Linked DNA regions of Mus musculus: all the other regions are reported to be linked to region 2. The links are microRNA targets in miRTarBase. Many come from high-throughput screens and were not tested one by one. Region 2 holds a microRNA gene; each other region holds the end of a gene's coding sequence. Distances are from middle to middle.
The links. Region 2 holds the annotated microRNA mmu-miR-1843b-5p (AUGGAGGUCUCUGUCUGACUU, at 1,378-1,398, shown strand). A microRNA usually pairs through its seed, bases 2 to 8, with sites in the 3' UTR of a target mRNA and lowers its output. Matches are read on the target gene's strand: a 7mer-m8 pairs with bases 2 to 8, a 7mer-A1 pairs with bases 2 to 7 and ends in A, and an 8mer does both.

Region 1: miRTarBase lists Akap5 as a target of mmu-miR-1843b-5p. Seed matches in the 3' UTR shown: 7mer-A1 at 1,352-1,358.
Region 3: miRTarBase lists Gpr157 as a target of mmu-miR-1843b-5p. Seed matches in the 3' UTR shown: 7mer-A1 at 1,730-1,736.

What each region holds. Positions count from the first base shown.
Region 1 is chr12:76,329,690-76,332,689 of GRCm38, reverse strand. It overlaps Akap5 (A kinase (PRKA) anchor protein 5), which reads right to left. Exons shown (of 2, transcript NM_001101471.1): 2 at 1-3,000. The coding sequence ends at 2,636. Among named protein-coding and RNA genes, the nearest start is that of Akap5, 6.3 kb to the right of the region's middle.
Region 2 is chr12:80,390,051-80,393,050 of GRCm38, reverse strand. It overlaps Mir1843a (microRNA 1843a), which reads left to right and starts at 1,374; the gene lies at 1,374-1,438. The region is part of intron 5 of Dcaf5 (DDB1 and CUL4 associated factor 5); the gene reads left to right. It also overlaps Scarna3b.
Region 3 is chr4:150,102,202-150,105,201 of GRCm38, reverse strand. Gpr157 (G protein-coupled receptor 157) reads right to left here. Exons shown (of 4, transcript NM_177366.3): 4 at 1-2,990. The coding sequence ends at 2,793. Among named protein-coding and RNA genes, the nearest start is that of Slc2a5, 16 kb to the left of the region's middle.

The DNA of each region.
Region 1 (3,000 bases), 4.1 Mb from region 2:
GTGCTGTGTGAATAACGCTTGACTTCAGGGGGTGAAGAGAAGACACTGAAAAATTATCAAGGATCTGATAGACGCCCCCAGCCTTAGAAATTTCCGACTTCAAGAAGAAATTTGATCTTAGCTAATGTTCATTAAAGGCAAATTTCAATGAAAATTAATGTGACTACCCTAAGTTGATGCATCTAAATGGGTCCGTTTAAGGCCACAAGGGTGTAAATTGAGTCAGAATCTTTCTATATAGTTTGCATAGAAAGTCAAACTGCTTGAAATACATCCCATTACCAAAAAAAAAAAAAAAAAAAATGATGGCAGACTTCCAAGCCATCTCTTATTTTTATAACAACAGAATAGTTTGGACCACCCTAAGATTCACTATCATTTGGCCACATAGCAGATACTTAGGGTTGTGACCCACTAATGAATTTCTGCATTCTGCTTACAGGTTGGAATTATGCTTTAAAAAGCCAGAGAAAATACTTAAGAATGAAGGAGAATATATTTTCTTATAAAAACAATCAATTATAACAATACCTTCTAACCAAAGGTATAATTATCAAATAGTAGTGTAGGGAACATACACACACACACACACACACACACACACACACACACACACACCCTGAAACCCAGGGCTACTATCTTACCCCCAAAATTACAAATTTACTTTGTGCCTGCTTTTCAAAATCTCCAAACCCAGAATATCTTCAATAACTAAGAGCTTGTATCTTATAGATTTTACTCATTCATAAGAGATTAGAAACCTTAATGTGAGTGTAATGTGGCTCTCCTTGGAGCCATTCTTATAGTAAATAGATACAGAATTGTTTAAAGTACTGCAAAGTGTACCAACTTTAACCAGGCTTTTAAAAGTTCATTTTAAACATATTTGCTGGTAGCTATCTATACAAGTCTATTAGCACCATATACAGTGGGTTAAAATATTCTTTCAAAGATGATTTAGGAGTGATTTTTAGTTTTATGTCTAAGAGGAAAACCATTAAAATAAATTTATTGAAGGGGTGTTGTGTTTTTATCTAAATTGAATGATACCCCATCACCCATTACAAACATGAAGATAGGCAAGCCTGAAGAAAATATTTTCACATTCCAGCCAAGAATCTTGCTAAACATCCACCATTTGGTTAATTTTCAAAGCCACATTAGTTACTTTTGCACAAGATCACAATATGTATTTACAAAATAAAAGATAGGAAAAAGCAGTGTATACATATGCAGCCCATAAACACAGTGTAAGTGCAAAGTGGATGAAAATAAGCAGTGCTCGCTGGACAGTGGTGGCGCACGACTTTAGTCCCAGCACTCAGGAAGCAGAGGCAGGCGGATCTCTAAGTTGGAGGCCAGCCTGGTCTACAGAGTGAGTTTCAGGACAGCCAAGGTTACACAGAGAAACCTTGTCTTGAAAACAACAACAACACAAAAAACAAAAATAACAACCAAACCAACTAGTGGTGCTCATGCCTCAAGAAGATGCTCAACAGACATTGTACCATGTGTACCACATCTTTTGTAACAAGTAGAAACAGTATCACTTAGTTTAGATAGTGGGATGGGGGTGCTGTACAATATGGACCCTAACGTGTGGGGTTGGGTAGTATGTTACAGTGTTATGGCTAGACAAAATGAAAAATACTGGTGTTGAAAATCTAGGCTTTAGTGTGAATTTTGACCTTTTATTCAGTTCATTACATAGTTTATGTTTGGCCAAGAACTATTTTCACAAGAATATTACGGTTTCCTGGCCCTTTAGCCAGGCGATGATGACCCATACCTTTAATCTCGACCAGCACTTGGGAAGCAGAGGCAGTCGGAATTCTGTGAGTTCGAGGCCAGCCTGGTCTATAGAGCGAGTTCCAGGACAGCCAGGGTTACACAGAGAAATACTATCTGGAAAAAACAAACAAACAAAAAAACAACCCAAAGAAGTAGCTCTGCTATTAGAATCCTTTGCTACCTGGGAAGTTTGCCTCCTGGATAAAAAATATACTCTTCCCCATTTGATTTCTCAGGAGAAAGGTTCACTCACAGATGGGTATATACAGGTCTTCTGGGCAGAGGGATGTTGGGGAGAGAACACACTTCCTGTGTCCATGCCTACACATGTGTTAACTATTGGCCTGACCGAAGGAACCCATGAACACCTTTAGTACAGAACTTGCTCAAGACTAGAAAAGCCCACTCACCTGATTCACCACTAGAGACAGCAGGAAGACCCTGTAAAAGGAAAGCGAATGGAGCGTTCACCTATAACCCAGGGTCGAACCATCAGAAAGAAACCCAGACTTAGTGACATTAAAGAACCATATAGCATACCCAGTGCTCAGTAGTCTTCCCTCCTCAAAGCACTGGGCTATTGCCTGCCACTTCCACACCTCCCCATAAGTCACTTCGCACTGTGATCTGTGCTGACTCCCTCCAGTCCAGAACTGTGTTTCAATGACAGAGTTTTACAACCTTCATTGATCCTTTAGCACTTCTGGGCTGGAACTGTACCCTTAGATTCCACAGATGATAAGCCTCTAATTTATTACTGAGAAAGAAGTGCCACAAAGGGATAAAAGAATTCATCTTTCAAGGGTTTTTTTCCCCCCTTTCTTTTCGTGACCTGGAAACGAAGTCACTGGAACAGCGTATTTATTTGATTATCCTCGGAAACCATTTCATTAACCAGCTGTTCTACAGACAACTCGATAGCATTCTTGACGAGAGAAGATGCTGTTTCTATTAAGAGTGTTTCATACTGTTCTGAAGTTCTCCCCTCGAAATCACTATCATTAGCAAAAACCCCCACTTGCTCGTTTTCCATTGAAATTAGGAATTGCTTAGGAACATTTTTAGACTTCTTAACATCAAATTCACTGATTTCAGTGTCAGTAATGATAATAGCAATTGGCTCCATTCGTTTGCTTTCTTCTGATCTCGGTTTCTCTGTATCAATTCCATTTTCTTTCAGATCTGGTGCATGGCTCGATATAGCTTCCT
Region 2 (3,000 bases):
TGTGCTACATTTACACAATGGAGTACAACTCAGCTATTAAAAACAATGAATTCATGAAATTCTTAGGCAAATGGATAGAACTAGAAAAAAATTACTAAATTTGATTTCTTAAAATTAAAGACCTCTGTTCATCAAAGACGGTATGACATCTGTGAAAAGATAAGCCAAGGACAAGTACTTGTAATTTGTAATGTATATATTGAATAAGAATTTATAGCCAGAGTATATAAAAAAGTATGATCTATGAAAGATAGAATTCCATTTTAAAGTAATTTTAATTTTTTAATCCTTCTATGTGTGTCTGGTGTCCCAAGAGGTCAGCAGAATGTGTAGGACTCCCTAGAAAATGGAGTTACAGATAGTTGTAAGCTGTGGGTACTGGGAATGTAACCCAGGACCTCTGGAAAGGCAACCCCAGGAATTAAAGGTCATCTTTACCTGAATGGCCAGCCTGAAGTTAATGAGAGTTAAAAAAGGAAGGAAGAAAAGTAAGGAAGCTTTTCAACTTCATTACTCATGAGGTAACTGAAAATGATTGGAATTGTTCCAGTGGAAAAGACTGATAGTGTTGACCGGGATGTGAGACTAAGGAAGCCATCCTGCTTTATACTTTCGGCAACTCTAAATAGGTACTGCCGTCAGGGGAAGCGGTCAGTGTCTGCTGAGGCTAAAGGTATGGCCTTTATAACATTTTGAGCCTCACTCTCAGATCTCCCTAAGAGATGCAATTGTGTTTCCACTGGGGATAAGTAAATACAGGAGTATGGCGACTGCTTTACTTAGTGTAGCCAAAAGCTGACACAAGCCTAATGTCCACTAAAGGACAGTGGATAGCAGAGCGGACAGTGGCCATGTAGTAAAACACTGGGCAAACATTAAAAGAACACCTTGATGCTCTCACACATGTAGATGTGCATGAGCCTCATGGCTAGAATTTTGAGTGAAAGAAGACAGCCACAGAGGAACCTGTCTTCTATGATTCCGTTTGTGTGGTGTTTAAGGACAGGCAGATTATAGGTGTTAGAATAGTGGTATCCCAGGGTAAGATATTGACCAAGCTTGAAATCATGTCTTGATCTGGTGTGGTTCATTGGTGTATACTTTTGAAATAACATATTCAACTAGGTACATGTAGAGTTAATACATAGTAGTGTATCATGTTAACTGCTGTGTTTGAATGTGTGGTGCTGAGGATCAACTCCAGGGTATCACACTACATAGACATGCGAAAGAGGTATATCTCTAGCCTATCTAAGGGACAATAAGTTTGGTCAATAAGTTTGACCAAAAGGAATTCAAACTGGAAGCTGCAAAACCAACCATGTAGACAAAGGAGAAAATGCCTTTGTTTGCAGAAGGCAGCGGTCCTACATGAATATGGAGGTCTCTGTCTGACTTAGAATAGCTGGCTGAGTCTGATCGTTCACCTCCATACAACCTTAGACTCTCACTCTACTTACTGATTTCCTTATTAGTTTGTTTAGGATCTCTGCTGATTAAATGTACTATCTTACAAAAAGGAAATAAACTGAAGTTACTACTCTGTTAGGAAAATAAGTGGAAGACTATTACTTCATTGAGTATTTACCTTATTCCCTGTGAGTCCAGTGCTCACAACAGCCTCATTAACTGTGTAGAGAGCTGATGAAGGGACAAAGAGAGATCAGGATTAGGAGGACCCAGGAGCTTAGATGGAACAGTAGAAAAAAAACAGCAAAGAGCAGACCTCCTCATCGAATAGCTCTACTTAGGGGCTAGCTAGTCAGCTCCTCTTCCTTTTCCTTCCCTCTCTTCCCTAGTCCTTCTGTCTTCCCTTCTCTTCTTTGTATTTTGAGACAAATATCACTGTGGAGCCCAAGGTAGCCTCAATATCTGGCCGTCCTCCTGTGCCATCTTCCCAAGTGCTCACTACAAGAGTGGCCCCCACACTTAGCTAGCCGGTCTCTTCCCCTTCTCCTCTTTCCTACCTACTGGCACATTTGTTAAACGCCTGCTTTCTCCCCAGCGCTCTGTTCTATTCTCCATTGCTTTTCTTAATGCCGTCCTCACTCCTACAGTTTTTCTGGGTGAAATCCTGGAGCCCCGCATAGGTTTCCTTGCTCTAATCGTGCCTGGCACCTCAAGTTCCAGCAGCCTCTCCGTCATAGCTGTCACCTCCTTCCCATAGTTGCTGTCCACACTGCCTCTTTACTTGGAATTTTGTATTTAGAGCAGCAGATTCTTAAACAATTTTTGCTGTTGTCTTATAGCTCGTTGGGGTTATCTTTGTTCATATTTATATACCCAGAACATATATTGTGTATGATGCTATAAAAATTTAAATAATTTTTAATCAATAACCTATTTCACTAGATTGAAAAATAAAAGAAGAACTGCTTAAGCAGCCTGTCCTTCTGTGCAGTCTCTCTTCTTCTAGATACAACACAAGGATTTGTCCTCTTTTCTTTTGATTTATTAAAACTTTTGTTGTATACGTATGCGTATTCGTTTGCATCTGCATCATGTGTGTGCCTAGTGCCTGTAGAGACCAGAAGAGGTCATTGGATCTCCTGGAACTAGATTTACTGGTGTTATGAGCCATCATGTGGATGTTGGAAATCAAATTTAGGTCCTCCATAAAAGCAGCCTGTGGCTCTTAAGTTCTGACCCATCTCTCCATCCCCCTTTTTCTGATTTTTGTTACAGGGCCTTGTTTTGTAACACAGACTGGCCTGGAACTCATGGTGCCCCAGCCTCCCAAGTACTAGAACTACAGTTGTCCTAGTGTACACCGCTCTCCTTGTTGTTCATCTGCTCAATTCCTAGCTACCCGAGGAAACTCCCTCACTAGACCTCCCTGGCAGATCTTTAAAAGCTTGCCCCTTGTGTTCTTAGCACCTACCATGGCGTTGCCACAAAATATGTATCTAGTGAGTCAAATTTCCTCTTACTCTGAGGGGATTTTACTAAGTGACTCTGTTTTGTCCTCAGGGAAACCAGTTGCTGTCCTTTCCCAGGTGC
Region 3 (3,000 bases), not on the chromosome of region 2:
CCTGAGAACCCTGTTTCGAAACTTAAAAAACAAAACAAAAAAAAAAAATGAAGAGAGATAAATGCTAGAGCATAATATCTCACGCACACACACATTCTCTCCCTCTCTCTCTCCCTCTCTCCCTCTCTCCCTCTCTCTCTCTCTGCCTCAGAAAGTCAAAGGCAGGAAGCAGCTGGCAACGGATTTGCAGAACAAGATTCACAAAGTGTACCAGGCGGTGGTGACACACGTCTTTAATCCCAGCACTCAGGAGGCAGAGGCAGGCGGATTTCTGAGTTCGAGGCCAGCCTGGTCTACAGAGTGAGTTCCAGGACAGCCAGGGCTATACAGAGAAACCCTGTCTCGGAAAAAAAAAATTCATAAAGTGCTTAAGAAGGGTGTGGGGGCTGTAGCACCCATTAAGGCTGAGGTCACATTTGGGTGACAGAGGAACACGGACAGACAGATATTAATGACACTTCCTAGTAGAGATAGGAACCCACGAGGCTGAGCAAAGCAAAGGGGAGCTGGTCCTCACCGGTGCTAAGGCCCCTCCTGGCCCCAAGGATTCTTCTATTCCTCTTCAGCTCTGAACCCTGGCTGCCTAGAAGACCCACTTGGCCACCGGCTGAGCTAAGGTTGATGTCTGTGAGCACGTAGGGCTAGAGGTCAGGCACCGGGCCTCGGGTCACCACCAGCCACCTTCGGTGACAGGGCAGCATGGGAAACAGATGGAAAGAGCCAAGTGTAGACTTTGTAGGGGGTTTTACGGACAGCAATCCTGGCCAGTGGCATCAGAGAAAACTTGGGTAAGCCCCAGGCTCCAGGAGCAGGGCTTTCGGATGCCCCCTGCCTGCCTTTCCTTGAACAAAGCCCCAAACAGCCAGGGTTTCACACTGCTCTGTCCAGCTGGGTTTATCCAACATCATTTCCTCCGTAGTATTTGGTGGTTTATTTTCTCCCCTCCAGGAGACAAATTCCTAGAATTTCTGTTCCATTTTAGAAGCCAGGAGATCCATTACCGCTGCGCTACACGCTGACAGTGCACACATTGGCTGTAATATCTTCACAGGATCTCAGGACACCCTACACAGACTGGTTTTGTAAGCAGACAGAGTACCAAGCCAAGGAGCTTTCTTAGACTCCCAAAAGGGAACCCACCTCTTGTAGAGTTTCCTAAAGAAATGCTTTAGGAAGCCAGAAGAGGAGCATACAGACACAGCCCTCTGCGCGACTATTCCTTTCCTGATAGAGATGGGCGCTGATGCCCCGTGTGACTCTGCTTCCATCTTGAGCCAGGCTCTGAGCATCCTCTCGGTTTTGTGAGGGTATTGACAGAATCCAAGGGCGCTACCTCACCTTGACTGCAAGGTGGCGGGCACACTTCCCACACCGAGAGCCTGCACGTCGGCACACACTGCTTTCTGAAATGAGGGATGTGTGGGTGGAAGAGCCACTGAGCAGATCTCAGTTAAGCCCCGCTCTGGCCAGGCTTGCTAGCCAAAGGCGACAATTCTAGCTTCCTGGGAAGTTGAGGTAGGAAAATCTTAAGTTCAAGACCAGCCTGGTCGACTGAGAGTTGAAGGCCAGTCTAGGCAACTTAGTAAGATTATGTCTCAAAAAAAAGGGAGTGGGGAGGGGCATGGGATTGAACTCAGTGGCGGAGCACCTGCCTAACAGGCACAACACAACACAACATTTTTTTAAAAATGTAACTATCAGGAGGCAGAGGCAGGTGGATCTCTGTGAGTTGGAGGCCAGCCTGATCTACATAACAAGTTCCAGGCCAGCATGTCCACATGAGACCCTGTCTCAAAAAAACAAAATAAAATGTAATCATCTCAGAATCCTATTTCTATATCCCCCAGATAACTACAAAACACAAAGGCCTTTTAAGTATTTGGGGTGCTAGGACCAACCTGGAAACTACACGGAGCTACAGGCCAGCCCGAGGCTGACTCTTCAAACATTCACCTTCAGGGTGGAATCAGATCCATTCACTGGTCACCTTTCCTAAGCAAAGTGCAGAGCCAGACCCCCTCCCCCTGTATGAGTCACCGTGAGGAGAGGGCTCTGTGAGAACAGTAGGTGAACTGGTAATTGTCCATAGGGGCTGGAGCTGAGCTGCCTTCTGTCCTGGTACCTGGAGGGAACGAGGATGTTAAGTGATTGACTAATGGACAGGACTCTGGACTCTGGCCTGTGCTGAAATTCAGATGTAATAAACACTGAGGGGCGATGACCCACGCAGAGATTCCGTGAGATGCCCATGAGTGTGTGCCCGGGTGGTTTTCATCAATGATGGCAGTCTCCTGTGACTTCCGTGGACTTGGGACCTAGTTTAAGGATATTACCCTCAGCTGACCAGCACTGCTAATTACCCCCAGGGTCTCTAGGGATTCTCAACGCCCTGGCAAGCCCGGACTCCATACTGCGATGTCTGGGATCCAAGATGGTGTTCATTATTATTCAGTCAAGCCTGGGATGGGTCCACAGGTACGGATCCCTCCAACTGTAAACAACGTTGGTGGCCGGGGACACTGAGAACCAATGCCCTGGCGGTATCCCGCATAGCTGAGTCTCACGGTCTTTGTGCTTACACAAACAAACCCCACTGAACCAGGACATGAGTGTGCAAGGAACACACTGCCTGCCTGCAAGTCTGGGAGGTAGAAGAGTCCATACTGATGGCTGTCCCTCCACTGGGCTCCGATCTTCACTTTAGGCCAGGCTGACAGCATGCTTGGTCTCCTAATCCTGAAGCAGGAACCAGGAAGGCAGCGCCAGTACGGACAGGGAGGAAAGCCAACCGCTCAAGTGCTGGGCACTTCTGGGGTCCGTCTGGATTCCTGAGATTCTCCTATCTTGGGGGGCGTAGGAGCCCCCGGAGGGCTCTGGGTGGAGGGCCGAGGACAGCAGCAGCAAAGAGAAAAGAGCCTTGTGCGGACTGCCCGGGTACAGAGGACGAACATGATGCAGTTGGCCCCTCCCTGGAAGGTGTTTCCAATGCCCTGTAGGGGA